4 linked regions of the Drosophila melanogaster genome follow. The protein of the gene in region 1 interacts with the protein of each later gene in a pairwise test. Each region holds a gene or a part of one and is shown in the gene's direction. Other genes may lie near its edges. The genes, in order: CG34170, Tsp33B, CG6126 and bves.

Region 1 (5,839 bases):
AGAGAAATATTTGGTTGTATTTAAGTGACCATTACATGCATTTATGGCTATGGGCCATAATGCTCGGGCACTCGAAATCGCATTCTAAACTTGGCATATTTGCATACACAAGCAACTGCACTTTGCTCCCTGACACCAAAACATAAACAACGAGCTCGCCGTGGGGCAGGTAAAAAACCGAACCTTTGCTGCATGAGTGCAATCCATATTTGGTATTACTTCTTATTTTACATGCATGTATACATAATTATGGTGCAGCCACAATACAAGATGTCTAAGCAAACCCCGTATCAGTCTCGATATTCGAGGGCAATTGCTTAAAAGGAATTGTTAAAAATGTTTGATACCTAAAATTGAATAATATATAATGTTTGAATAATTTAAATGAAATTTAGAGAGCCTGACTTCCGCTAACTTATTAGCTCTACAGTTCATGCAGTTCGAAATTCTATTTTGCAGAAAAAGAGTGAAAACACTCGATGCTCGATGGGAGGCACAATCACCAGGGTATTATGTTTGAAACAACAATCAACTGCAATCAAAATAGAAAAGCCGCACAATTTTCCAGGCATACGGCACATGATGCAATATTTCCATAATTTTCCCTCTGACCCAACAGCACGTTTTTCATCTAGCTTCGAATTGTTGTTGTAGATGTTTTACATGCCAAATTATGCAAAAGTACAATTCACCATACATATTCAAATATTTTCGCCGAGTTCCACAAAATACACACGGACACTGATCCCACAATGTTCGCCCTCCCAATCGCATCGATTTGGAATATTTGAATTTTGGAATTTGCCTGTCAAAGTCCCAATAATGACATGTCACGCTGTGTTTTATTTTTTGCTCTATCTCTCGATTTATTTGTCCTGTTATTGTGTGGAATTTTCACTGGCTTTCAGTTTTATGCTGATTTGCATGGGGCGCAAGGTCAACGATGTTGCACGCAGCTGATGCGTATTTCATGGGAATTAAGTTTGATTTGATAAAGGTCATGTTTCCTGTGTGCCAGTGTCTGTGTTTATTCGTGATGATCTGATAACGGAATTTGCAATTATGACGAAACGTAAATGGTTTAAAGTGCTTTTTGAGTGATGGAAATGGGGAAAGTGTCGGCGGGAAAATCGGATAAATTGATTGGTCTGTTTTGGCATTGATAGATTTGCCGACATGTGTTTTTGTTCACCATTTAACTTGGTTGAATGCCTAATGCACTTATTTTGAATGGTATTATGGCAGTGTTTCAGAAACGAAAACCATTTTTGAAGTGTTTGTTATGTGTATAGTATCAATTAAAAGGCTGAGATAAACAGAATAATATGGGTTATTATTTAAATGGGATTGTTGTACCTCAAATGTAAAATTTAAATCGATGAAATAACGTTTATAGTAAATTAAATTTGTATTTGCTTTCAAGGGTATAAACTTATAAATTCACTCCCCCGACAAAGCGATTTAGACTTTGAAATTATATTAGGCAATCAGTAAACGTATCTTTATTGGCTTGCCAAATCCCATCCTTGTATTTCTCACCTCATCTCAAACTGCAAGCTTTCAGTTTGATTCCTGGTTATTATTCAGCAAATAATCAGGCAGTCAAACAGTTGGCATATGTAGAACAGTATTGGGTGCCCAACCGCACGGTATCACCTGGTCAACCGATTTCAACGACAATTCATTCAAATGTCGACCATTCTGATGGCCCTCGGTTCCTGGTCTTTTGTCCGGGATCCTATATGCCGGATCTCCTATTCGCTTTGGCTGGCCAAAAGACCATTAAAGCTATTTTTTCTGCCCATTCAGCATTCAATAGAAATTTACATCACGTCGAAAATTTTTACATACGCATGTGTGTATATGTCCTTTGCTAAAAGGACATTTTGTGATGGCCAGAACGATGGGACTGGGTGGGGTATGTGGTTATGTGGTGGCGAAAGTCGCGTTGAGCATACTAACACTTTTTTGTATGTTTGCTTAGCTTAGGTTTTTACCTGGCAAAAACGCAGCAGGGGTTGGGCATCGGATTGTGGCAGCCTCGAAGTAACAATAATAAAAGCCGGGCGGAGGGAAACAAAATTGATGTTCCCTGCTGCAGTAGCTACATACATATATGGCAGGAAACTATATTGCCACATAGGCAATTTCATTGTGCGATATACATATATTCTGGCAGATATGTTAGGGACCCTGAGCAAATTGGTTTACCCGGCTTACCCTTTTCACACAACTTTAGTTGAACTCCCACTACACAACTGAAAATAAAAAGGTAGTTTAAGAAGCTAGTTTGCTTATAATATATGGGATATGTAAAGCATTGATAAAAAGTCAATTACAAAGGTTTTGTAAATGTAATTGTTGTAATTCGTAGCACACTTTTACGCATACAAAATTTCCAACAACTTGCCCCTTTTAGTTAAATATTTAATTAAATGTTGTAATGCAGTTTAACATATACATTTTCACTCAAACTTTGTACCACCATTTTGTTGCCTTCCAGGTAGAAGAGGTAAAAGGGGGAGTGGACCTTGAGAGAGTTGCACAATTTGCTAATTACCGCAATCAAAGTTTTCTTGTTGGGCAGCCAAAAACAGCTTCAAAAGCACAAAACTGATAAATTATAAATTAAAGGGAATCTCAGGAAAGTTGGCTCTTTCCCTATCTTTAGTTTACACAGCGAACTGTTGTGAGTATTCCCTCGTTTTTTTTTTTTTTTTATGCTTGGATTCGAGTGCATAATTTACGAGTTGAGCTCGCTGCCAATATTTCAATTACTCTACGGCATTTCGAGCAGTCTTCCTTCTTGCCTCCCTATCCCAGAAGCAATTTCAATTGAGCTTAGTGCTTGCGGAGTACTCTTTTCGGTAGGCGGTTTTGTCTCAGGGCGAAATTAGTGGCCAAAACTGCGGCAGATTACAGGCCAGGCCAAGAGCGAACTTCAAACAATTATTTGGCCAGCTGGGCTGGGAAGCTGGCTTTTAATTTGCTTAGCCCCTGCCCATGAATAATGCAATACGAGAAAGAAACGAGACCAAGAAGAATTTTTGTATAATTGCAGGGCGCACAAAATTTCGCTTAGAATCTCCTCGGGCCACATAATTGCTGAGTGGAAAGGGGCGGCAGAAAGTTAAATGTAAATTAAATATTTCCCTCGTCTTTTCTTTAGCAAAACGCAAGTTTTATCCGGCTCTTAAGTCAAATATTCACCTGCTACAGGAAGGCCAGTGAATTAACATGAAAATGAATGGACTTCAGGTGAAATCTTTATTACAAACAATTTGCGGTGTCCTGCGAATACAATGGTAACTAAAATAATTATTTTGAGAAGCTCTTTTATAATTTCCCGAAATATTACGTTAAATGTAAATTTTTGTTGTTTTTTATGCAAACAATTTAAGTATATACACCAGTTCGTTTTTATTTCCAGTGCCCATAATAAGCCCCGTTTCAACTGCTATTTGAAGGCACGATTGCATCGATTAATTATGGCTGTCATCGTGTAAATTGTGCTAAATTATTATTATCAATGTTGTTGGCCTGATGACAAACATTCAATTTCGCGAATGTGTCGCGCTCGACGGACACCCAGGATACAGATACACAGGACGACCCGTTGAAGCGGAGCGACCAAATTGCAATTGTGATATTGACAATAATGCAATCAAATAATCAATCAATTAATGTCTGCTTGAATTAATGCCGAATATTATGTGCTATCGTCAATGCCATCATTAGCACTAAATTCAATTACGTTGCAGGCATATCCTGTTGCCCTCCATGATGATTCATCATTGTTAGCGTACTTTTCCGATGAGGCACGGCGTACACGAATCCTAATCCCAGGAGCCTGTGGCCCACACATTACTCTCGGCCTTTAGAAAAACTTCAAAATTTGTGGCTTAAATTTGGGGAGCCGGAAAAATATTCCATGGCTGGATCACCTGGCGTTAAGGATAAGCTGAATCTGATTGTTGGCGGGGACATTTGCGAGGTATACCGGGATGGATTCAATTGCGGATCCTTTGGCTTCTGGTGCGGACTCGTCGGATTGGCCGTCTTCATAATTTTTCTCGCCTACTTTCATATAAATCGGGAGCGAATAGATCCGACGTCATAATCCCCCTAAATGTGGACAATTCTACATAAATGTGTCATAAATAAAAAGTAATTTAAAAAAAAGTACACATAAATCTTTTGATTTTGTTAAAAAAAACCCTTTTATTCCATTAAAGATTAAAGTTGGATCCAAAAAAAAAGTTGTGTAATGCATTCATTAGCGTGTTATATATTCTTTATGAGCTCTCCTTCACATACAAAGCTCTTTGAGTTGTCTCTCAAATGAAATCCCGTAATTCCGTCAATCCAAATTGATATTTTTATTCATCAAGCTCGATTTTCATGAAATTCATCCTTAAATCGTTGTTAAAAATGCATGTGCATATTTTTCTGCCGGCTCTTATTACCATGCACCTACATATTTATCACTGCTTGATGGACCCAAAACGGATGCTATGTAAATTTTTACTCGGTCGATACATTTGACAGAGCTCATATACACTCTCGTATATAAAATGCCTCAACTTCGTTTGATTTATGCATCATTCACGCGCAATTTATCGTAAAAATTACAAAAAAAGTTCAGCGCATAAAAAAGAAAATGGAAATTCACGTTTTTCGAATCTACAGACAAAGTGCACTGGCGTTAAAAGTCACGGGGGTCATTTATTGGGTAGTTTATAATGCAGTACAACATAACTGATTTCCAATGTTGTTTACTCAACTTACAAACATTTTGATTTACGTGTGTGCGGCACAGATATGTATTGATATATTGATATATATATATATATATATATATGTTCACGTATATCAATAACATCACCAGCAACAACATTCAACAACCAACAATAATAAAGAGGCTGACGGGCAGGCAGGCGTAAACCGAATCGTGTTTATATATTTACTTAACTTTTATGGTCCTCCCTTTGCCAACGTGGAAGTGTATTTGATTATGACAAACAAGTACAGCACGGCCTAAAATTAAAGTATTTGTTATAAAATTATAACAATTATACTATATAATTATAGTTCAATTAGTATGTAATAAGAAGATGCGCTTTAACCATCAATTTATTTATAATTTGAATTATTTTAGGGATTTAACTTCCAGTTGTAAAATCCCATTCGTAATCTAATGTTTTATATTTGTGACCTGATTTAGGGACTCAACGTATTTAAACATTTCATGCACAACTGTACGGAGGAAAATGCATACATATGTAGCGGAGTGGGAAAAGCGAAGTCAAGGTAGCGATGCATAAACAAATATTTGCAAAGCACAAAGCCAAAAAGTGGGTGGTGGGCGGAAATTCAGGGGATGTTCAGTGGGGATTAAGTGATGCCCGCCAGAAATGTCATATTGCACCGAAGCGTTTGGGTTAAAATACCACTCGTTTGTTAAGTGATTAACAAATTACGTTTAGGTATATTTGAAACAGTAAATATGAAACAGTAAATCGTGATGAAAAATATTTAGGCACACTTCTTTAATAAGCGGTGACTTTTAATTAAAAACTCTTTTAAAGAATTAAATTTTTCCTATGGATATTGCAAGTTGATCTACCTTTTCACTCTCTTCGTTCGTGTATCCTTTTCTTTGGTTGTTTACCTTGCACTTTTAGTGCACCTACCACTATTCATCGATTGGCCATATTTCTTGTTATTTTATTGCTCCTTTTTGCCTCGTGCGTTTCATCTTTCATACGCACTCGATATTCAGGCAATCCACTGAAAGTGCCATCATCATTCGTTCCATATGCAAAAGCCAAATAACATT
Region 2 (6,954 bases), 5.5 Mb from region 1:
TAAAAGAAAGTGAAACAATTAACGAGAAATCCCCAAGCGCCACAAGCAACAACATATCTGCTTTAAATTTTACAAAAAAGGAAGAGAAATCTAAAAAAAAGTATATTAAACACGAGTCAAAGTTTAATAATTTAGTAAGAAAACAATACACAGACAAACTGACAGACACACGACCCACACATTATGCTTCCTTTTAAATGCAACATTTTATACATTTAATTATCGAGAATTAAATGCTTAAAATACAATTTTAATTTAATTTAACAAACTGTAACTGTACACGAATAAACGGAAAATGTAAAACTGTTTGTTTAACCATTTAAAGACAGAACTTGGTTTTATTTAACCTAATTTTATTGATTCACGATCATCGCAGCAAAGTGCACATTTTGAATACACTTAGAATGCAGGGAACAATTGAAAATTGAAAATGAAATTATCATTGATATGCATGTATTTTGCTTTCACACTGAAAATAATTGTTTTCGAAGTCGCAAACACACACTATCACACGTCTATAATTATGTAGTTGAGTATCCGTGTTAGTTTTTGGGTGTTTTTGGATTTTTGGTGATGTGTATAGAGCGCAGTATATAGAATGCATATAGAGATATATATTATTGTACGATTATTGACTAATATATAACGGATATGTATGTGTAGTACGTGAAAGGCAAGTTTATGGAGACAATTCACTTGTGTTGCAATATTAATGAACAAACGAAATAATTTACTTGTAAGTTGCGTAGTGCAAGCCGTGAGAATAGAGGTAACTTTCTCCACAACCCACACTCACTGATCGACAGACACATACCCATTAACCTTAATGATTAAACGCTGGGACAGCGGCAAAAATGTTTCCTAGGAGAAAAATTAACAGAAGCTGAAGAAAACGCTTGGAATGCCCCAATTAACGTAAACATTAAAAGCAACAAACAGTAACAATACTAAATAGAAACAATAATGTACTATAAATCAGATACAATACAACACTATATATACCTAAAATATATATGCCTATACGACAGAAATTGGACAACAAATGAAATATATATATATATAGTATATATTGTACAAGTTACGAGTAAAATGTAATTAAAATTTATGAAGTAGTAAGCACTAAACAAAACAAATAAATGAGCAGCAAAAACGCGCAGCATAAGCATAAAACCGGATTTTACAAGAAACTGAGTAACCCTGAGTAGAATTATATTTTTTGGTTAAGGATATTATTATGATTTCGTATCTCTGGGATACCCCGAAAACTATCGCTTCGTTTTCCCATCTCCAAAAGGATAAGTCGTTTAGGTAGCGCGAATTCCGCCCGATCTGCCTGGAAACCCACCCCTAAATGACCTTCGCACTAGGTAGCATCGGACTACTGACCGTGGCAACTGCGTGAATTCATTAGTATTCCAAGTACCACGATCGAGAACAGACCGCAGATGACGTCCGCAAGCGATACAGGTAAGGAATTGGCTAAAAACGAAAAAAAAAAAAACAATACAACTGAGCCTATTAAGACGATCGTCCTTCAACTTTTTAGAACCCACTGCAGTAACGCTGCTCCAGCTGAATGACGATGTCCTGGCTTTGATCATCCGCCAGCTGGACACGTACCAGCAGTTCCAGATTAGCAGGTTGAACAGGCGCTTGGCGGGCGTAGTGCACATGCTCTGGGAGACCCGTGTTCGCAACGTTGTCCTGCAGGACGAGATGTTCGGACGCTCGGGAGCCAATTCCCGACAGTTTGTGGCTTTCATCTTGGCCCTGGCTCCGCACATGCAGCACCTGAGTTGCAAGCAGTTGGATGTCCGAAGACTGCGACTGCTCAGTAACCACACGCTGGAGAGGATTCACTCTTTCGAGTGGCTGGGCAATGTGTATAGACGGAGACGCGTTCGCTTCGTGGATGAGGATGTGCGAATGCTGCAGAGGGTATTTCCCAATCTAAAAAGCCTCAAACTTAGAGGCTGCCAAATTACCGGAAAATACCTATGCGACCTGGATGAGCTTACCGATCTCCGCCTGCATGATTGCCATTTTCTGGAATCGCAACACTTTAGGGACATCTTCCGGCAGCTGCGACTACGCAAATTTGACATAATGGAGGACTGTGACGAGGTGAACTGCTGTGATCTGGCGGATCTGCAGCTGTGTCCCACACTGGAGCATATCAAGATTGCGGATTACCACGTGTGTATGGAGTCGGATATTACGCAGCAACTACTGACATTGCCAAACCTGCGAAAGCTGTCGATCTATTCCAGGAACTTTGTCTTTGATGTCCTATCGAGGATAGTTAGTCCCACAAGTCCTCCCGGCGATGGCCGACAAATTGAGGCCTTTAGTTTCAGTGGAGTTTTGCACGACTATGGCCGGTTCTTCAGGGAGCTGGGAAATCTTAGTCACTTGACGCGACTGGAGCTGCACAGCCAGCCAGAGGAAGAGGAGGAGAAGGAGGAGGGCGTCCAGGTGCAGTGCCTGGGGGATCAGATACTGCGGCAGCTAGCCAGTCAACTGGGTGAGCTAACCGAACTCCATTTGTGTGGCTATCAGTTGGAGAGTCCTTTGGGCCTGCTGGAATTCGTGATCAATTGTCGACAGCTGAGAGTCCTCGACATCACTCGAACCTTCTGCCATGGAGAATCCTTCGTCTGGAGGTGTATTGCCATTTTGGCCAAGCAAAGCTGGCGCATTCGCCCTCTAGAGCTGTGGATCCGGCATAGCGATATCAATCCGGAAATAGTTCAAAGTTCGCGCTGCGTTGATAACATAAGGCTGATAAAGGTGGATGCAAAACAGATTGGACCCAATACGGACTACACATCTGGCGTACTCAAGTTTAGCTTTGTGCGGTAAACCGCTGCCCCATGAGTGGGATATGCTCCAACTGATCAAGCTCCAAAATGAAAAGGTTTTAAACTGAAATATAGTTAAGTGTATACATTTATCAACTGCTTACCAAATAAAAAGATGTAAATATACATATTTGTAAAGCGATTTTTCAATGCATCATTGTTTTTACTGCCCTTAGGGATAAAAAAAATTAAATTCAAGTTGTAGTACACTTTAAAATTCAAACACCCAAGTCCTTGCAATCAGCGTCAATCCAAATGAAATTCGAGTTCAGAGCTAAAACCTCGTCGACAAGCCAAACTTTGGATCGATGCCCACGAGGATGACCAAATGCGCCAGCCCTTCCGCCGAGCCTCCGTCTACCTCCACCTGCTGTTAATAACCGAGGCCGTGATCGGACTGCTGATCCTGGTGGTGACCGCCTACTACCACACCGTGCTCACCGGCTATCTATCGGATATTGAGTGCCGCCTGGTCTACGGCTATCTGTTTGGGATCTACGTGTTTGGCGCCCAGGTGGTGGTGACCTTTCTCTGCAGCATTGCCATGTGGCGGCGAATTTGGCGGCGTCGCTGCACGCCGAACATTCGCCTCTTGCTATCCGTGTGGGCCTTCTACTCCTGCGTAATCATTGCCTCCGGTTTCGGGTGCGTTTGGAATCTTTACCGGGGTGTCGATGTCCTCGAGAATGCGGCGGACACCTCGCTGACCCGCGGCATCGACATGTACTACTCGTGTCCCGAGTGGAAACTCCTGTGGGACGGACTGCAGTGGCACAAGGAGTGCTGCGGGGTGCATGGCTACAAGGACTGGATGAACGCGGAGTGGATGCCACGGCGGGAGAATAACTGCACGTCGATGGTCCTGGCACCCTTCGCCTGCTGCAAGCGCTCCTGCGACAGCTGCTTTAACAATTTCCTGCCCAGTGAGGGGCAGTCCATCGGTGGCAATAGCCGGCAGCCTTTTCCCGCTCTCACCGTGGACTCAATCAATGCGAACGGATGCTTGCCTGCGTTCGTTAGTGCGGTGTGGAACTGCTTTTACATCCTGATGGCGTTATGGGTCCTGGCCCTTAAGTTTCTGGTAAGTAATTGGTAATGGGCAACGTTTTAAAGTCAGAACAATGGTGAATATTGGAGCCATATTCATTAAATTCTGTCAAATTCATTAGCGTAAGTCATATTGAAATCAAAAAATTTGAATATGCAACAAAATTGTATTTTAAGATAAGACCTCCCTAAGTCAATCATCTTTTTAGATCGTGCTTTGTTGTATGACCAAGTTCATAGTTCACCGGCAGAACGAGGGCGATGGCTGCGATAATGTGGGACTCACGGACGATGATGGACATCCCTTGGTCGTGGTGGTGGGTTTATCCATTTACTATCCATCGATAGCACCTAAATCAGTCCATTCCCCAGAAATATCCGTGTAACGTGCGCTGTGTAACAATTGCCGAGGATGATCTGGTATCCGACAACGTTCCCGATATTAACTACTGCAATTGCACCGAAATGGACGACGAACCGTGTGGATACTAATATTGTGCTTAATTTTACTTTTATATTTTATATTAATTTAATTAAATTTACGAATTTGAGTTAACTTCATATCCAATCGGTGAACGCAATATATTATTTATTGGATATTATAGGATACTTATTACATGGATGTTGTAACATTGGATGTTAAATGGATTAACGGCGCATCCTCTTGGATTTCTTCAAAGTCTGACCCACCAGTTGAGCAATATGTTTGCGCAATGCCAAGAAAGGCTTCAAGCAGACGCGCTGCTCGACGAGACCCACAGCAATGCGGTGAAAGAACTCGGTGACATCCACGGGCTTGGCCAGCAGCTGACCTTGTGATACCGAGCCGTTTTCCTCTGAGGCCTCGGGCGTAGGGCTACGTGCCATTCTACGGATGAATGGTTCCAAGTTGCCCCTGCTACGTTGGGAAACGCGAGCTCCAATGGACTCTGATAGCGCATTATTGGCGCGAGAGAAGGTGAGACGCTCCTGAGATCCCGAGTCGTTTTGATCCGGAGTCTCTGGCTTCTGTATCACCAGTTCGGGTGAGGTGGGGTTTTTCTTTGGAATTTTCGGAAACTCGGTAATTTCGGTAATCTCCAAAGCACTGTGGGGACGTCTTCTGTAGAGAATCCGAACCCGTTATTCCACGTTCTACATTACGAAACTATAACTTACGGTGTACCCGCCTCATAAGTGACATATGGGGACCAGTCTGCCCCATCCAAATCCATACTAAAAGGTTCACAAAATGAAGAAAAATGATTTTGTTTTATAACATTAAATTTACTCACTCATCTTCGTTGGAACAGTCATCATCTTGATCACTTTCCCTGATTATAAGGCAACTTAAAAATAATCTATCAAAACATTATATTAAAAAGACTTACACAGAAGACTCGCAGGTAATCTCGTCACTTTCGGGAGCACTAGAAAGGAAATACATATATTGTCAGTGTTTTTCTGAAGCTAAATTAATGAAGTCTTACGTAGCTTCTTGATATTCATCATCATCGCCCACAATATGAGGAACCTTTGATTGGGACCTGCAATGAATAATCCATCAATATATTTAATGAACTGCTTTAATTTTAATTACATTTTTAACAAATTTTCAACGCCTAGCTCCTGGAAAATGACAATGTGAAAAGCCGTGCGGCCAGTGTGTCCACTCCAAGGAATGTTTAATAAGAACATCAGTGTTGATCAAAATACTGTTGAAAACTTACTGGAGCATATGTAATTAATATATAAAATTCAGTTAAAGCTCAAGTCACGTGTTCTTAACATTTAGTAAAAATAGAAATTTATACTAAAGGTTTTGGTAAATTTGAGCCTTAAAATTTTGGTTAAGTTTAGCCTTAAAATGGCAGTTAAACATAAAAAGTTTAAATTCCTATAAAAAGACGTACCAGTGTTGTACAACAGGCTTAATTTACAAACTTCCAAATACAAATGTAATTATACATATTTATGTAAAGTCAAGCCATCACAATTTAATTCCACCTTTGGAAATGTTTTTATATATTGGGTGTTCGTTTTTATTGAACTTGACATGCTTATGACTAAATAGTTAAGGAAACTGGAATTGGAATAAATACAGCTCGACCAAAAACACAAGCCACAATTATGCAATAAATTCAATCCTTTAATGTGACATATAGTTAACTTATTCGAGTACTCTTTCTTAGACATATGTGGGCTATAAACATTGTAAAATCTCTACTGCATTCGATTGGGAAACATAAACCACAAGACATGGGCGGAAATAGCCTATTCCTGGCTGATTTCATTGGCATCTGAGAAATCCGAGACGGCGACGCTGCTGGTGCTGATTAAATGTCGATCGGGCATTTCGCCGATGGAAGGAAGAGTGGTGCTATCGCTGGCGCTGGACAAAGATATCTCCTCCCAGCTGACGCCGGAGTCGCATTCGTTGCCCGGGGAAACGGGTGTGGCGTCGGCATTGTGCGGCTCATCCTCCGGTGCCTGGCCAATGCTGATAGCCGGCGTTGCTCTGGAACGTTTGCCAACTAGTTCGACGTTTTGATTGCGATCCGCAGCAATGCGCTTGCGATCGGGAATTTGATTGCCCGTGGTGGGACTCCAGTCCATGGCACGGTGCACCAAAGCCCGAAAAGTTATACGGATCGGCTCGCTCGGTGGACTGTCCATGTCTGAGGGATTTCTTCTGGACACTTGCGGCGACATGATCATCGTGGAGTTGTGCAAAGCACTGGGATGCGAAGTCAAAAAATCAGACTCGCTCTCCTGTCGACATTAATGAGAAGCTAATTACTATTTATTGTTTATTGTTAACTGAATACTTTTCCCACGTGCAGAGCCCTTTCTAGATCCTCATCCTGGGGACTGATACTAGCTGATTGCTGCACGACACTTGCTAATTCGGTCATTTCCTCAATATCCATGCCTTCCTCGTAAACGCCTGCGCCTGAGCAAATAGTTAGTTATATATGTATGTATGTTAAGGACGTCTAATTTAGAATATCTTACTTTTGAGGAAGTCAACTAATCTCCTGTTTGTTCGGCTGCGTAACTCCATTTT
Region 3 (10,433 bases), on another chromosome or scaffold:
ACACGCCCATTTCAAAATTTCCTAGAATACAGTAAATTCTGCAGTAACATATCGCGATATGATTAATAAGTGGGAATCCACCGCGATATCTGCGCAGCATTATATCAGCTCCGCAGAATTGCTCGAGTGACGCAGATGGAGGGCAGTTAAGAGACTCTGGACGGCAATATGATTTTCTTGGGGCAGCTACATCGACGCGGACTGTGTGTCGTCATCCTCATCGCCTGAGCTGAATTTGAATGCAAACTCGAGAGTTGCAGAGAGCTCTTGCTGCAATTGCTGCTGCTGCTGCTGCTGCTGCTGCTGCTTGTGATGTTGTCGTTGCTGTTGATGCTGCAGCAATTGCAGCAGCATCGGCTCGAGAGCAATGCGAATATAAAAATGGTGATTCTGTTCTTCCGCTCCGTTTCGGGGACGCCTCTCGGGTGTCCAGGTTTTTATTAGCACCCGACTAACGGACACTTGTCCGCTCGCTCTTCTTCCTCAGCAACTGCAGCTCAAACAAAGCCGCCAGCCGGTAACTAATTTTCAAAAAAGCCAAGATGATGACTACTCGTGGTTGGAGCGAGCTTAAGCTGTCTTTCTTGCATCCTGTTCGAGGTTGTAAAGTTGAAATCTTTGTGCATTATATTTGCGTTATTGAGTGAATGTTTAGATGCACACTGTATACTATTTTTTTGATAGTATATTCTTGAATAAAAAACAAATTAAGGGGTTGGGGAACTAAAGTAAAATTTCTTATATTATGAAAAATGTAAACAATTTGCGTGCATACAAATTTAAATAAAGTTTATTTTTCTAAACATTATAATTGTACCGAAAACACTACATGTCCAGCTTATTCAACTTACATTGATATGAAATCATTGATATTTCTTCTTTTTCTTAACCCTTAGCTTATTTTAAATGAAATAAGTACTTAATTTATTAAGTATTTAATCAAAGAGGTCACAGTGGCGCCCTCAGCATTTGCTTATTGAGATGGTGAACTAATGGAAATTGCCTACTATCAGTTGTGCTTAGTGTGCGTCCACCTTTTGGTTGAAATAAGCAACTATACAATGTAGTATCATCGCCACCTTTGGCTGTTATTTTGAACTATACACAGCTGACCGCTAACGTCCTCTTTTGGCCTATGATTGAACTAGATAGTTTCTTTTGTATTCCGCAAGGGACAATATGCGGCGAATTCACTCCGTGTGGCGAATTCAATCTCCAAAAGCGGATTTATACACCAAAATTAATAAATAATAATAAAAAAACATTTTTTTTATATACTTGCGAGTAGCATTTCAAGTCAATATATAAAATAAGAAATAATGTTGATATGCGATATTTCGTATTAAAAACTATCGCGATAAAAGTTTACATATCGTAAATATCATCGATACATCGATATTTTATTAATACAATCAAGATGCAACACACAAGGCGCATGGTAAGTAATATTATTAAAAAGCCGGTAAATTGCAAAATACAATGAACAAACATGTTATTTTTTTTAGCTGAATCCTCTGTTGACCGGCCTGCGAAATTTGCCGGCACGCGGGGCAACAACAACAACGGCAGCGGCTCCCGCCAAAGTTGAAAAAAGTGAGTATTTCTTAGGTTTAGTTATGAAATTGAATTAATTTTGAATAAATAACCACAGCTGTCAACACGGTGACCATTTTGGGACGAGTTGGCGCCGATCCGCAGCTGCGTGGATCCCAGGAGCATCCGGTGGTCACCTTTTCGGTTGCTACACACACCAACTACAAGTAAGTGCATTTGTGTGCGTTTTGCCGCCCAGCATGCGTCTGCAACTGAACTTGAAATCACATCTCAGAGGAGGGAAATAAAAAAGCTACATAAATGTTGACAATTAAGTTAGTTCTTAGCCTTAACCTCCAAGAAAATATCACGTTGAGCTGCTAATTCAGATTTATGTAATGAGTTATTAGAACATTTGCTGTATGTAATTACCTAATGATAACGGCAATAGTGTACATTTCCTTGTTCAATTAACTTCAGTGATCAATTTCTTCTTAGGATCCATGAAATGCCGGATTTCATAAAGAAAATAGCTACCATTTCATTTAAAAAGCATTCATGAAGTCTTAAATATTTCCCCACAGATATGAGAACGGCGACTGGGCCCAACGCACCGACTGGCATCGTGTAGTGGTGTTCAAGCCCAATCTGCGTGACACCGTGCTGGAATACTTGAAGAAGGGACAGCGAACCATGGTGCAGGGAAAGATCACCTATGGAGAGATCACCGACCAGCAGGGCAACCAGAAGACTAGCACCAGTATCATAGCCGACGATGTGTTGTTTTTCCGTGATGCCAACAACTAAAATTTAAGCCCAGATCACCAAACCTAATCTTAAGCGAAAAGTTGAACTTGCAGCATTGTAAGCATTTATAATATTCGTTGGATATATTGTGTTATCAGATTACATGCGTAGTCGTACTCCACATGTGTCTTTTGGTTTTAACTCCTTGACCTTTTTGCATGGGAACGGTGCGTTGAATTGGCGTGCATGTTCGTTATAAAGCTGCTCGAACTCCTTTTGAACTTGTGTGACCTGGCTCTTCAATTTTTCGATATTTTTTTCCATAGACTCCAGTGTATTATTGTGGTAATCGATAAGCTTGGTTACCTGTTGATACACTCACTTTAGAAACTCTAAATACAACTTTTAGTCATCATTTCATACCAAATTTACGGAAGGTACTTTTGCGGATATCTGCTCATTATACGTCGCGACCTCCTCTTTGATCTGATTGCAATGATCGACTGTTTTTTTCGAAGACATCAGCATACTCAGCAAATCCTGATATGTGGTACTTGCCAAAGGAAACACTTGGCCTGCCAGACTCTCAGGACTCGGATAGCTCTGCTCCAATTTCGTAACTGCTTTCTCCGCCTGTATAAGGTTAATCTCGTTTTCATGCAGCTCCATTTCTACCCTAAGCATGGTGCACTTTACTGATCTCAGGGTATCATCGATGGGAAGTGCCTGTTGGAGTATGAAAAATTTATATCCTGTTTGCCTATGGCCATTGAGTCTCACATTTTTGGCATTGTCTAGGCAAATTTGTTCCTGTTCCTTAAGAAATTTTAACTTGGTATTGAAATCTGATTCCATTTCAAGGCTGTCCTGCATTAAAATATCCGCCAGCATATCCAAGTACAGGAATGTCGACGGATCTGATAAGTTTGGCTCACACATAATTTTAAAATTAACTTTAAATGAATTTTATGTATTTTTTGTATGTGTTTTTGTGACTTATGTTTTGTTTGTCACTGAGTGTTAGGCAAATCAAAGCTTGCTAAGGTATGAGTTTTCTGATCGTATTCTAATCTAAGGGATCCTTGCCAAGAGGCATCATTTATTTTCATACATCAAGGATTATAATGGTGATTACAGTTTTTGAAGCTCTTACCCTCGAGCAGAGTTTGCTCTTTAGTTCCCAACTTTGGAGACCTCCACAAGCTCTCTTCGCTCGCGAGCTTGGAGCGACCTTATCGCCATTTACCACTCAGTTTTCTCGCTGAGCGACACAGTTCGCAGTTAGTTTTTGCCAGTTCAAATGCTGCCGGCGGTCGGAAGAGTTGATAGCTGATCGAGCGCTCCGTTTGCGATTTTGTTTCACTCGAGCACGTTGTTTATCCCGGATTCGTTTTGCATCTTCGCGACCCGTAACTATCAGCAGTGCTGCACTGGTGTGCCATTCATACATGCTCCACTTCTGCAGAAGATGACGATTTGTTAAGAAGCAATAGCAAACAGTTACTTTCATTTATTTTTGATTATCAATAAAAAATCAAACATGGCTGTGGATTATGTACTGGAGGACCTGATGGGGAAACTTGGTGAGTGGAATGGGCTTTTGGGAGCGAAGACTTTTGAAAGGTCAGCTGTTACGTTGCCAGGCGTCTCCATCCCGTGCTGATAAGAGCCTGGCGTTATGCTTATCATTTTGAGAGGTCTTATCAGCGTTGCAAGCTACTATGGATAATATTTTGTTTCACGACGACCAATGAGGTTTACCGCCCAACCTTCTGTTCTGCTTTTAAAATCTATAATTAATTTTTCCGTATTATGCTTTTAATCTCCGCCTAATCTATCCGGCTGGCTGTCCGTCACGTCAAGTGCTCAAAAGAAGCCGACTATAATACTTTTTTAATTGCAACTATTTTCATTTTCATTTTGCACTATTCTTAATTTAATAAATCGTCGAGGCCACCAAGTGACAGACATTTATGACAGCTTGATAGAGACTCCGACCTGTTGCTCCCCTTTTGACTATATACCATACCAAGTATGTATTTATGTACACATATAGTCGACACATGTTCGTGTGGGCCAAGTTCTGAGCTGGAGGCTGTCTGACACTTGTTGAGCCTACTTGGCTTTAGCACAGTGACGCTAAAACGAGTGTGGCGGCTAACAGGCAAACAAAAATAAAACGGGTGCAAAAGGGGCGGTATCTGTCACAAGACTGTGAAGTAGGCTCGTCATAAAGATCTTGGGATCTACGGATATCTGGGTATTTGCTTATAATTTATTATATACTCTAATTGTGCGGTTCAAACATTGCAGCTAGCTTGTGGAAGCTACAAAATTAAGCGTGTTTATATGCAGTATGCAAAATAGTTAAGATTAATTGTGGGAATACAGTGGAAGATCGATGGATAAACAGTTTTATTTGTCACGGCTACAAATTAGAAATTTATGAGTCACATAAAATATGAGTTGGAATATAAAATTTGTGTCAACGATTGTGCTGAAATTGTCGTTAATTAAAATAGAACAGTTTTTTACAATCCGAAACTGGTTTTGTATTAAGCATTCGCAAAACCGCAGCCTATAAGAAAGTGACAGGAGAGAGGGAGTAATAATCGCATTAGCGACTTTTTTATTCGTAATATATTCGCATACATTTGTATCTGTGAAATGCAAAAAACCTTAAACTGGTTTGCTCACATTCAACTATATGGCAATACCTCCCTCAGCCATCAAAATTCACATATCGCTCTTTTATTTCTGTTTACTTTGTTGAAGGCCTATTGGCGAGCAGCAACTCTAATTACTTCGAATTTGGAGGCGTGTTGCATTGCTGAGTTGGTTGTTATTTGTACGTAAGAAGGTTACCATAAAACCAGCAACTTAAAATGACTTTGAGAGCACTTCCACACGTGCTATGTGGAGAGCACAGAACAGAACTAAATCGACCTTCAGTTGTTAGTAAACGCGGGAAGTGAAAATGTTGAAGTACGGATGAACAAAAACCGAAGGAAGCCTTAAAGTGGAGGTGTAAAACCATGATCTACCTCAATTATTCGAATCATGATACTTAAGCACAAAGGAAATTTTAAAAGCTTTGAAGAAATCAACTCTGAAATAAAGCAACAGTTGATAGTAGAATAACAGTAGATTAATATACATGTGCAATATTGTTAGAAATATGACTGCATTATTTTTTAATATTCCGTGTTCTTATCCATCTCACTTATCGCTCAAAAAGTTTGCCCAGAATAAACAACGGTCCAAACCTGCGCCATATTCATTTTAATGTGCAAACTGTTGGTTTTGTACATCATAATAGATGGCTTACGATTAAGAGAACAACAAACATTGACAGGGCCAAAAACAAATGTCGTATTCAAGGGCCACTTGGCAACAATTATACGGCTAGTTATATTGGACGGATGCAATAAATCTGAAGCAACAATATCACTGATATATGATCTAGCATTTGGTGGCCTCTGATAATCCGCTATGAGTTCCACATTAGTATTTACTATTACGAGTTTAGTTATCACAAATTTGGCCAATCGATTTCCTAGATTGTGCTCAATTATACGCTGATTATGTCTATTGGGGGCGTAATTGAATTTCATTAGGCGTAGAGTCAAATTTTATAATTGAGATTAATTAAGTCAACCCGATGACATAATTTTACACTTCACGCAATCGTTTTAATAATGAAAAATGAAAATTCTCAGACGTTTTACTCATGATTTGTCGATTGCAACGTAACCGGGGTGAACGTAACTTTTCATTTGATGGCAAGAGTTTCGTTTAAACGATCAATAAACGTAACCCACAAATCAATTGAAACGGCTGATTGAACATTGGACCGTGATCAAGTGTCAAATTCTCGTATCTAGGCTACATACTGTCCATGTCGTTAGAAATTTACACAGCCCCTGGCCTCCCATCAACGCGATCGCCATGGACTGACTGACCAGCCAAGTCATAATCGATTCAGTGCATTCTCCCAAGACATCCGAGTCTCTTTTCATGGCGTTCGAAACCAAAACCAAACCAAACCAAACTGTGGGCAAATATTTGACGGGCTAGGCGAATGCGCTTCAATTGAAATCGAATTGAATAAATTCCACTTGATTTAATTGCAAAGCCTTTGGAGTGACGACAATTCCAGCGATACCCATTAAAAGTTCCCATCTACATAAAAGTCGGCTGTTTCTTTGGGTTGTGTTTTTATCGCAGCTACGTGATGTTCAAATTCAAATACTGAAATAAAAAACCGTTTTAAATAATTTGAGCTAGAACAACTTCCGTTTTCAGCTCAACTTACTTTCTTTTTATTATATTTAATCGTAAACTGGGTGATTCATGGGTGCTACAGATTATCACTATCTATCATGTTGCTGAAAGCTCACATTTGTTGTGCGCTCATAACCTTTCCCAAGACATTAATGATTGTGAAATGTCTTTCTATTTTTTTCTATCCAATTGCAGGGGAGTTTGGAAAGTACCAGTTCCTGCAGTTCTTCCTGCAGGTGCTCTCCGGCCTGACCGCTGGCATGCACATGCTATCGCTGGTCACGGTGGCCGCCGTGCCTGAGCATCGCTGCTTCATCGAGGGCGTGGATAACAGCAGCTTGTCGGTGACACCATGGAACTCGAGCGCTATCCTGGCCGCCATTCCGCTGAAGCCCAATGGCGAGCTAGAGTCCTGCCTCATGTTCGATCCCAGTAGTCCTGGCACCAATACCACCATCAATTGCGAACGTTACGTATACGACACGACGTACTACAAGACTTCGCGCACCATCGACTGGAACTTTGTGTGCGATCGCCGCTGGATGGGAGCCATTGTGCAGACCGTGTTCATGCTGGGCGTGTTCACAGGCGCAGTCACCCTTGGCGGACTCGCCGACAAAGTGGGTCGGAAAACCGTGTTCTGCTGGTCGGCCCTGTTCCAATTGATCATCGGTGTGGGTGTGGCCTTCATTCCCGAGTACTTCTCATTCATGGTGGCTCGCTACCTGCTGGGCATTGTGGGATCAGCGGGTGCCTACATCTGTGGGTTCGTGCTGACCATGGAACTGGTGGGACCTACCAAGCGTACTGTGTGCGGCATTACCTTCCAGGTGAGGAAGACTTCAATAGATTTTGCATTTTTTAAACTGGCTATACCATGCAATACTTTTAGGCTGTTTTCGCTGGTGGCATCATGTTGGTGGCCGGATGGGGAGCACTCATCCCTGACCGCCAGTGGCTCCAAGTGATCTACGGACTGCATGGCTGTCTGTTCCTGGGCCACTGGTGGTGGCTCGATGAATCTCCGCGCTGGCTGTGGATGCAGGGACGTGCCGCCGAGGCGGTGGATATTGTGGCCAAGGGCCTGAGAATCAACGGATCGGGCATCCCGGTGGACAAGGAGTACTATGTGCAGAAAGCCAAACAGCAGGCGGCGGCCGAAGAAAAATCCAGCGCCGGATTGAGCGACCTCTTCCGCACGCCCAACTTGAGGATGAAGACTTTGAACGTGTGCCTCTGCTGGTTCGCCAATTCTCTGGTTTATTACGGACTATCGCTCAGTGCCGGCAAGCTGTATGGAAATCCCTACCTGATCCTGTTCATCATGGGCCTCGTGGAGTTCCCCAGCTACATAACCATTGTGTTCGTCCTAGATCGCCTGGGTCGTCGATCGATCACCTCCACCCTGATGTTGGGTGGCGGTCTATGCTGCATTGTGGCCGCCTACATTGCCCAGGGCAGCACCACCTCCACGGCGGTGGTAATGGCAGGAAAGCTCCTCATCGCCGGTTCCTTTGCCGTAATCTACAATTACTCAGCCGAACTGTTTCCCACCGTGGTGCGGAACTCGGCCATGGGATTGGGATCGATGTGTGCCCGTTTGTCGGGAGCCCTTACTCCGCTCATTACATTGCTGGACTCATTTGATCCGAAGATACCGGCCGTGCTGTTCGGCGTGGTGGCCCTGATCTCGGGCTTCTGGGTTATGTTCCTGCCGGAGACAATGAACCAGCCCATGCCCGAGTCCATTGAGGATGGAGAGAACTTCGGAAAGGGAGATACTTGGTTCAGTCAGTGTGCTGGTCGCAAAAAGCGCCAGAATAGCGTATATCCCGACGATCCGGAGCAAATGGTGCCGCTCAAGAACATCGAGAGCAAGTAGAACCTAGCCAAAGACGATTGTTTCCCAAGTCCAAAATCCAGCTTAAATTCCTTGTTACCCTGTGTTTTCTTGTTAAGAATTCTACTCTTCTGCCTAGTAGTAAGATTTAATAGTTTCTATTCATTCCAAGCGAATAAAACGATGTGCAGAATATGGGGAATCCTAATTTGTGGATTCACTCATTTCTGAGTGTCCCTTTGTTGTTTGTACGGATTTTTTCTTTTAATTTTTTCGGTGGTAAAATTTAGTTTAAAGGAAATTTAAATGCTTGACGAGCATTTTTACTGATTAGTGTTGTCTACTTTTAGGCTCTATCAATTTAGGCGCAGATTCATAGCTTGAATTTCAATTTTCTCTACGGTAAAACCAGTACACACCAAAAAATTATTTCCCAACTATTTCCAATTAAAGTTTATTCTCCGACCGACACAGCCAATTCGGGTTCGTCTGGCCTTGCAAAGTTTCAGTAATTTCCACTCAATTGCACTATCGAATTGCCAATTGCCGACAGGGATTTCCAATGTCAAATCCATAACCCATCGCTTCCCTTTGCTCCACATGATGTTTAACCCGCCAATTAAAGTTTGTTTAAAGAGAGAGTTTTGGTTTTTCGGTTTTTGTTTCTTGTTTGGTAATTCTTCATTTTGTTTTGTTTGGTACATTTGAGAACATTCATTTCGAATTTGAATATATTTTCAATTTAAATTTTAACTACACGTAGGCATATAGATTTATAAACGTATGTATGTGTATGCCGATATCTGATGCGATATCGTTACACGATTTCGCTGGCTTAGAATTACATTAACATTTACATAGATATAGTAGCTTTATATCTGGGATTTCGGATCGCGGTTCTCGGTAGCGCCTCTGTCAGCGATTTCCCGTCGAAGGTACACAGAGATATATGTAGATATTGTTAGCAGGTATTTGCGATGGCTTAACATCAATATTCTTACACATAGACACACTCAAATCGCGAGATAAACACATCTAGATGCGGTTGTTAGCCAATGAACTTGTATCAGAAGCCAACTGGGGTAAATGCTACGCTTGAAGGAAGGGTGGGAAAGTATGTCGGGTATGGGAGTTCGAGTGCCTATTAATACAAACATACGAACGTAGCTAAATATATGTATGTGTAAATTAATCACAATTGAATCGGAAAATATTTACAAAAAATACTCAATCGAAGCCCCAACCATCCGCAGAGCATGAGTCCCAACCCGTTGTCCCGATCGTTTGGTTTTACAACTCAGGTTTTCAGCTTTAGTTTCGTCACCACCTTATGATTATGCCCGTTCCGGGCACTTGGTCTGGACAATTGGCGCCTTCACCTGCAGTCCCGGCCCGGTCTCCGCCAGCATGGCCGTGTGCACAATAATGGCCGGCTGGTCCTCGCTCTGAGGATGCAGCTCGTGCGACTCGCCGGGTGTGAGGCTAGCCAACGCGGCCAAAAGATCATGGTTGACCAGTGGCTCGCCTTCCTCGCGCGGCTCCCAGCCGGCTGGCGGCGAAGCGGGCGGGGAGATGAGGAACTGTTTGACCGGCGCCGGTGGCTGCAGGTTCTTGTTGCTGACCGGTGTCACCGGCTGGGCAAAGTAGCAGGTGATAACCGTCTTCTTGTTAAACTCGTACTGGTGCAGCTTGATTCGCGCATTTGCCGCCGCAATGGCATTGTCATAGTTAACACGCAGGCGACGGAAGCTGCGCAGCCACTGGAACGTAGCCGATTCGCTGAATGTGCGGAATAACTCCTCCATGGCGTGCTTCAGCTCTGGATTGGCAAACACCTCGGAGTGGATGTTGGTCACGATGATTGAGGTGGGTAGGTCGTCGAACGAGTCTGCATCCACCTCCGGCTCTGTGTCGCTATCCACGTCTCCCTCCTTTGGGAGCGACGGATGCTGATTGGGCAGGCCGTCGGCGGCGTTGATGAAAATGTCCTGGTCCGGCGACAGCTTGTCTATGCTGCCGCCTCCACTGC
Region 4 (8,120 bases), on another chromosome or scaffold:
AAGGTTCCCAGTGCCTGCAAGAGAAAAATACGATTTACACTCCCTTCTTTTCGATATAGCGAGTAATTCTTTAATTAGAGTTCTTTTAGTGACCAATTCAGCTAGGTTTTTGGTACTCATTATGTTTCATACTCTTCCTATCAAGAATTTAAAATGTATTCATCACAACAGATCACACATCGCTACACTGCACAGCATTACACAAAGTAGTTACACTCACCAGCATGTGTTCGGAGCTCTGGATGGGTTGGAATCCCACAAACGAGATCTGCATCGACAGAATGGTGCCGACGCAGTATAGCGTGCTGTATGCTATGTAGATCCTGTGCGAGAAACGTCCGGTGATCATCAGCGCCAGCACGTGCAGCGGGATTAGGTTAATCAGGAAGACATAGCCACCCCACGAGGAGACCATATAGAAGTAGGCCAATGCCGACATAGCCGACCAAAAGATCGTGCCCGTCTTTACCGCCTTGATCCACAAATAGTAGGTGAAGAGCATGCAGAAAATGGCGATGCCTTCATTGTCGTACGATCCCGCCACGGATCGAGAGATATACCCGGGAACGATGGATATCAAAGCGGCGGCCACCAGTCCAGCTCCAGTGCTCTAAAAAGGGGTAAAGGGGGATCATAAGAACCACGTGCGAATTTTAACCTCGAAAGGATATAAAAAAAAAAGTAAAGAACGGTGGGACGGTGGCTTACGTGTATCTCCTTTGTGAGGGCGTAGGTCACCAGCGTGGTCAGCGAGGAGAAGAAGGGCGCCAGGAAGACGCACACGTTCCGTATGTCGATGGTCACATTGAGCAGCCACATCAGGCGGTACAGGGCCGCCGAGGTGAGCATCAGCCCGGGATAGATGGTGCCGCCGATGATGCGGCCCAGGGGATACCAGGCGCGGTCATCGAACCAGTTGTGGAACTTGTAAAAGCCCTGCTCCGCCAGAAACCGCGTGGTGCGGTAGTTGAAGTACGGATCGAACTCATGGATTACGCTTTCGAATCGCAGCACAGAGAACAAGCGTGTGGCAAATGCTGTCCAGAAATGCAAGAGGAAAAGGAAGTTTAATCGGCGATGGCAAGAGGAAGACCAGCAGCTAGTGATGGCACATGCCAGCGTGTATCAAGCTATCGATATTCTAGCAGGGCTGGCAAGTTGATATTCTACAACATGGCAATCGGAAGATGTTTATAGCTATGCATTTGTTCAAATGCAAATCAAGGAATTTATAAGCTAGGAAATAAGGAATAATAGTGCTGCATTGCGTAACTAAGCCATTATATGCTCTGGGTAATTTCACCATAAAGTGCCGGCGGCACATCAAGCTATCGATAGCGAAGAAGCTCGCAGCAGATGCGAATGTTTGACCTTTTCACAACGCCCACTCGGCTAATGCCGAATAAGCGCTGTTTACTCACATAAAACCGCTGCCAGGATGAGAATGGCCAGCTTGACCAGGTGCTCCTGTTTGTCCCAGGTGAGCAGTCCCCTGGCGACGCCGCCCACGTCCAGCGTCATTTTCCTTGCTCTTCCGCCTGCCGGCTTTTTTTCGGCGCTGCTTAATTCGATGCAAGAGTCCCTAAGTCACCGGTGCGAGTTGTTGACTGAATTCCGGATGTCCAGGATTACTTGTTTTGCCCCACCGAAGCACTATTACTTAGCTTTTTGCACAAAACAATGGCTGAAACTTGAATGCGACGGGATCGCAAACTTGCAATTCGTGGCAAAGAGCGGAGAGTGCTATCGATTATCGCGTGCTATCGCCGGTCTATCGGTAATAGGGGTGACAACTCTGACCGCTGGCGGGTTTTATTGTTTCCCTTTTAACCACTTCTTTTGGCTGCTATTTGCGGTTTATTCGGCAGTTAATTCTCGATTTATGATTAGTTACTATTAGTGAGTCATCAAAAGCACGGCTGGTATTCGAATCGGCAATTCATAACCGGCTGTTCCTGGGCTTATATCCCAGCTGTTTTCGACTCTCCGTGGGAGCGAGCACGAGTAGTGAGCAGAGAGCGAAAAACACATTTCAACCACCACACAGTGGGGTACGATTATTATTTTTTAGAAAGTTACCAAAAGTTGTCTAAATACGTTTAGACCAAAGATGTCAACTACGCCAAAGCAACCGTAAGCACAAATAAAAAAGAAAAATGTAACAATTTTCAGATAAATCAAGGAAATGTAAACAATCTTAAAAAGTTGTCAGCTAGTATGCAATTGCGACCACTGTGCACCACGAAATTCGTTTTCATTGCGGGAGAGCGAGTGAGAGAGAGGGCGAGAGAGAGCGAGCTACAGCCGTTTAAATTGCCATATATTTCCCATATAAAAGCACCGCTGCTTCGTGTTTTCATTGCCTTTTAAAAAAATCTCGAACAAAATATGACAAGAAAACATCGGATGAATCGCCGGGCAGGAAAATCACGGTTTCCACTGAAAAACTACTGATAGTTATCACATATCCGAAATATATGTATTTTCAATCGAAACGAGAACCAAATCCCCGAAAAAACGCGAATCGGAGTAAATACAAGTTGACTTCTGCTGGTAAATAGAAGAAAAATTTGTACCTAAAACAATGAAAAACTCACGTGTCAAATATTTAAGAAATTGTTCTCACTAATACATGGGCAAGCCCATTCCTATTTGCGTGTATGAGATTTGCTAGTTCAAATCGTTGATTTTTTTTAGTGGCAGCTTTGTTATGTGCAATATATACATAGATATTTGCATATGTATTGTGTGTGTGTGTATTTACTTGCAGCGTTGTTGTTGCTGTTTTTTTTTTAATTGAAGCCGCGCCAAAAGTAATTAAATAATAACGATGGCGAGTGTTTGTTTGTGTGTAAAGTGCAGCAAGAATGGTGAAAAATCGAACATCAACACGCTTTTAAAAATGCATGTGTTATGTATGTGTATATATCGGGACGTCACTGTGTGCGTGCGGGTGGGGGCAGCGACGCCGGCAGAGGCAGCGATTGCAGTTGCCAGCACGCATTCAAGAAGAAGAAGAAGGAAATCGAATGTATGATGGGAGGGCGTGGAAGGGGGGTAGGGGAAAGGAAGAAAAGGAAAACAAAAGCAACAAACTCCAACTTCTGCATCTGCTTCTTCGTTCTCTCCTCCTTCGGCCCACCACTCACTCACACCCCACCCACTCTCTCAATGTGTGTATGTGGGTGTTTGCATTTGCATGGCATTTCTGGCATGCAACTTCTATGTGTGTGTGTTTGTGTGTGCGTATATTTATGGAAGTTGTGTGCCTATAGGCGAGAGAACGAGAGGGAGAGAGAGAAGATCGGGGAACTACTATTTATTATTATCCAAGCTCCCAAAAATCGAATATTTTGCAACAAAAGAAGTTAGACTCGTGTTCTATTAGGAAAAAATCAATGAAGTGACATTCTCATTTCCGATTTTGAGACCCAATTGGGATGAATTGCTTTCGTAACTTCCAACTTAACGATCTTTCCAAAGATCTAAACTACATGAAGAAGGGGAAAATGGGGATGAAATTCGTTTTTAAAATTTCTATTTAAAAATATATTGGGTCCAAAAATACTTTATCAGTGGGGAGAATAGCTCTGAAATGAGTTTCCAATTCCCGAATTCCACTTCAAAGATCTGAGGCGATAAATAAAGACATTGCTATGCAATTCAAAAGTCTCATAATTCAAATGAGAGCCCAAAAATAACGAACGAATTATTCAAAAAATAATTATGCATTTCAAAAATAACTGGTGCGTATTTTTGCTATGAACTGAGAATAATATTCTTTGGTAGAAAAATCTGAGAACTACATATATGTATAAATAACATATTGCTTTGCTTTGCAAATTCTTCTCTAAGTCTAAACAAACCGTAAAGTTAAAAACCTATCTAAATCCAAACAGTTGGATAACTGAAAGCCATTTGATATCGCACCTAAGGCAGCATTCCGATAAGATAAATGACCTTATGTACAAAAACACTGAACTATAGAAATGTTTTCTTATCAGTGCTCGGCTCTGGATGAAATTCGTACTCCATAACTGATATTCACAATTGAAAATTTCCTATCACTAAGAGCTAGCTGAAAATGTTAGTGGACCATTAGAGTAAGGTAATCCATCAATATTGCATGTATAGTATACTGATGTCGACCATTTCCTAACCCATTTAAATGGCCATTGAGTGATTAAGTGTTTTTGTTTATTTTTTCTTCGATTTCTGCTTTCGCCTCAAAATAATTTACACAATTTTTGCCGTGGCTGGCCCGTTTCGGGCCATAAAAACGATGTAAAATTTAATATGGCATATAGGGCGAGACAATGTTGCCTGTTGTCTGGTTATTGTTATTATTATTTTTGTTTACACGTGGGAAACGGAAATTGGTGGTGAGGGGCAAAAAAAAAACGGAGGACAGCAAAAAGTTGCCGCCGTTTCACTTTCGGCTCACCAGTCTCCACTTGCCCCACCAAAGTAGTTAAAATTTACAAATAACAAAGGAACAGTCGAGGAATCTTAAGAAATGCTGCAAGCGTTGTGTTTTACACAATTAATTCCACGTAATTAAGCCTTTACGAAGCTTATGACTTTAATGTCTGATCTTCCCTTTTTCGCCCTCTCTCTCTCACTCTCTCTCTCTCTCTTATTGTTTTTCGTTTCGTATTTTCCCTTCTATCGCCGGTTTCATTTCCAATTGTTGCCATACAAGTTCCGCTTCCAATTGGATTACGACCACAATTTGTCTGCGGGCCAAACACCAATTAGAATCGGGCGAGATATGGAATTGTGCGGGCGCCTTAGCTCCTTATAGCTCCTTATCGATATCTGAATGCCCTTTATTTTTAAAGTCAATTTTAATGCATTTATGTTTTTAAACATTCAGAGTGCTTAGTTCGAAGTACATGCATATGTACATAAGTCCAATCGGAAGTCCAAGGGGAATTTTTGCGTTTAGTAAATATATATTGTATTTCCTCCTATGATAGTTTTCTCCTTGCTGAAAAAGGGTAATTTCCATTTCGCTTGATAATACTCATCTATAAAACCCGCGACTTTCTCCATAATTATAATCATTTGCAGGGAAATTCAAACAAAAAATCGCTTACATGTAATAGCCAAATGCCATTTCTCATTAGATGATGCCCCCCACGACGATTTCACGATGATTGCCACTGAGCAAACATCAATTGCTGGACAAAGGCAATCGATGACTTCGTCGTGAAAAAATGGGGTTGGGGGAGTCAAGAGGGACTTCATATCGGCCATTAAACCCACACTTTTCCGATATCGTCATTGGCCACTGGCATGTCATTCAACCCACCCTATTTCACATGATTTTCACCCGGCGACTTTTCCTTTCTGCTCGCAGTTATCAGTCGCAAACTATTGGGATTTTCGCAAGAAAAGTCTTTCCTTTTAAGTTGTCTTTTTTATCGTTCTTCGAAATTAAAAAACGTAAAAACTTTGAAAATTAACTGCATTATTTAAACCTAATTTAAGTCATTGTCTTTATTCAATTCCTCAATGTTTTAGGTTAGTTTTGAGCTCTTAGTTAACATAGTAAGTGTAACTTTTATGCAGGTCATTTCATAGTTGCACCTATAGCTATTTATTATTTTTAAATGTAGTTTCATGTTTTCTTTCACTTGTACTACATATTTGTTTGTGTTTTTCTAGTTTTTGAATCTTGCTTCGTTCGCATTGTACCCATTTTACTTTTGGCTATGGACTTAAATTTAAGCGAAGTCGCGCTTAGTTGTATTTGCATTTGTTGTTTTGTATTTTTTTGTTTTGTTTTTCGTGTTGTATGTGTGTGTGTTTTTTTTTTTCAAGGCAACAAAGCGATGACTTCATCTTCTCTGCCCACATTTTTGTTGTTGCCACACAATGTGTGTGCGTGCGTTGGTGTGGATATACCCTTTATGGAAAGTATTTGGAGTTTTTGAGTTTGGGCGCGCTCGGGAGAAAGCATTAAACCAATAAACCAAACCAAAATCACCATATATTATAAACATTACTTTATATACATAAATATGTATGCACATATCTTAAAAAATTGTTATTTCAACACGGACCTAAAGTCCATAAAATATAAAAAATTGAATTATATTGTGCTTGTATTATCCATAAGCAATTTATTGATTGTCCGTATGAACGTGAACTTTATGATCTGGAATATTTGGACTTAGATTACAGATTCAAGTGACAGTGCAGTGCAATATTGAAATTTAAATTTTGAACGCCCCCCCTATTAATGCTTTTTCCTAATTTTCTGGCCAAATTCTACCAATTCTATCTAATATATGTATTCCAAACATCTACCTATACTTCAACTAGCTAGCTAATCACCAAAAAGAACAAAAGAATTTGTTAAAAAAATAAGTTTTAAATAAATGAAGATTTTTAGAACGACGTCAGGAAATATGAGTAATACGTATATCCTCCGCTAGGTGGCGCTCGTCGATATTCAAGACCGGACAACTCTTCATTTGCTACGCTGTAGATATTCGGAATAGAATAGATAGGCCAACGTTTTTTAAAAATTTCTTTGACCGAGGCCAAGAACAAGCACTCTTTTCTCTATTCTGGGTGGTAAATGTTCATTCCGTTTTTAGGGTATTTGCATTTCGTTAACACTCAACTGATTTACATTGCTTTTTTTGTGTTGCTGCTGCACACCCCCGAAGAGTTGATGATAATGACGAGGAAGTGTTGGCCTTGTTTGTTTTTGTGACTGATGTGTGTCACTTGCGCCGCTATCATCATTATCGTTATTAGGCGCACGCCAAAGACATTGTGGCAGTGCAGTCAATATGCAAAGTGTTGAGTAACAGTCCACATCACTAGCGCATTATGATCATCATCGTGGACGTCAGACTGACTGCCTGTCATCGGTTGGTTGACCACTGTCAATAATCACACTGAGAGAAAATCCTGTATCGTAGATATGTTATGGTAAATTAGAATTTGAATATCGTATCGCCATCGTGATCAGGTCAAGACATCATCAAGACGCCATCAAGATCGGGTCAATGCTCACATTATTTTAGTTGGCATTGTCGAAAAGTTTGGAAATGTTATCTTCTGGGCTTTTCTTTTTCTTCCAGTGCATGGGCGACCACGAACTTTGCGACATCAAATTGATTATTTCGATGCCCTTCTTTGTCGCTCTTGTATCCACAATTTCTCCCTTTTCTTTTCACACTATCTTTCCTGCTCGTTGGCTTTGTTTTATTATTCATGTCCAGGCCGGAAATGTTTCGTTTTCCAGTCGCACTCACCAGACCAACCCCAATACCATAAACTATATGGGGACCACGGACCGTATAGACCATGCCCTCGCCCACTTTTGGCCACTTTCCCAGTGTTTTTAGTGTTTTTTTTTTTTTGTTCGGCTGGCGTTCTTTTTTGGGGTCAGCAAACAAAACTCGCACCCGTTGTTTGCTTTGTTCTATATGTGTATATACTCTCTGGAGTGCTTTTGGCCAAGTTTTGTTGGCCTGGTCGAGTCGGAAACAGGTTGTGCGGATCTCTGTCGGCCGAAAAAAAAAAAAAATAAAATAAAAAAATAACATTGCAGATAGTCTTTGCTTCCGTGAATTTCAGTGGATTTTGCTATGATTTATACCCGATTACCTAGATTTTTTGTAGATTTTCGCATGATATACAATATTACGGGTTTCTGAGAATTTATACGGAATTTTGGGTGCGTCGTGATCTGAAGTTACGAGAAGAAGTCGCTAAAGTTCATATCTACATACTGTATGTATGTCCACATCTGTATGTACTATTAGTCAGCCGAGATTCATAATCATATTAAATGTTTATAAACAATTACTTTAACTCCGATGAGTACTCAGCGCCTTTGTTACTAATCAGTATTGTATTAAATTCCTCTTGAGGTCTGTAATGTGTTTTATAAATATCAATATCAGTAGTCAATAACAAAATACTTATTGAGAGAATAAATAACAAACTGTAAAAATATAATTCTTTTGAATTGCATTATGTACATTTCTGTTTGTAATAAGTAGTCCGTCATCTGATATCCTTTCCCTAGTCTACTCAAGGAGTAATAATTCAAGGAGTGGCTACACTCCAAGAACTGGGGCATTCACTAGCAGCTG

Evidence for each region.
Region 2: the proteins of CG34170 (region 1) and Tsp33B interact in a two-hybrid assay, tested with the Drosophila melanogaster proteins (one large-scale study listed by BioGRID).
Region 3: the proteins of CG34170 (region 1) and CG6126 interact in a two-hybrid assay, tested with the Drosophila melanogaster proteins (one large-scale study listed by BioGRID).
Region 4: the proteins of CG34170 (region 1) and bves interact in a two-hybrid assay, tested with the Drosophila melanogaster proteins (one large-scale study listed by BioGRID).

Annotation. Positions count from the first base shown.
Region 1 is NT_033779.5:17,309,852-17,315,690, reverse strand, and holds CG34170 (uncharacterized protein), read left to right. Parts: upstream 1-3,870; 5' UTR 3,871-3,931; coding exon 3,932-4,120; 3' UTR 4,121-4,223; downstream 4,224-5,839.
Region 2 is NT_033779.5:11,788,539-11,795,492, reverse strand, and holds Tsp33B (tetraspanin 33B), read left to right. Parts: upstream 1-3,127; 5' UTR 3,128-3,189; coding exon 3,190-3,942; intron 3,943-4,117; coding exon 4,118-4,225; intron 4,226-4,280; coding exon 4,281-4,400; 3' UTR 4,401-4,468; downstream 4,469-6,954. Other genes in the region: CG14937 (uncharacterized protein), read left to right, coding at 1,446-1,467, 1,547-2,862; CG14932 (uncharacterized protein), read right to left, coding at 4,557-5,010, 5,067-5,123, 5,183-5,221, 5,279-5,317, 5,378-5,434, 5,488-5,489; CG14931 (uncharacterized protein), read right to left, coding at 6,162-6,659, 6,716-6,840, 6,903-6,951.
Region 3 is NT_033777.3:16,196,221-16,206,653, reverse strand, and holds CG6126 (uncharacterized protein), read left to right. Parts: upstream 1-3,570; 5' UTR 3,571-3,820; coding exon 3,821-3,863; intron 3,864-6,759; coding exon 6,760-7,394; intron 7,395-7,456; coding exon 7,457-8,446; 3' UTR 8,447-8,654; downstream 8,655-10,433. Other genes in the region: mtSSB (mitochondrial single stranded DNA-binding protein), read left to right, coding at 1,418-1,438, 1,506-1,593, 1,652-1,760, 2,118-2,340; CG31287 (uncharacterized protein), read right to left, coding at 2,440-2,646, 2,704-3,006, 3,061-3,219; sra (sarah), read right to left, coding at 9,739-10,433.
Region 4 is NC_004354.4:21,052,190-21,060,309, forward strand, and holds the start of bves (bves), read left to right. Parts: upstream 1-1,773; 5' UTR 1,774-2,133; intron 2,134-2,356; exon of another isoform or gene 2,357-2,553; intron 2,554-8,120. Other genes in the region: Stt3A (catalytic subunit 3A of the oligosaccharyltransferase complex), read right to left, coding at 1-14, 221-610, 709-1,037, 1,422-1,521.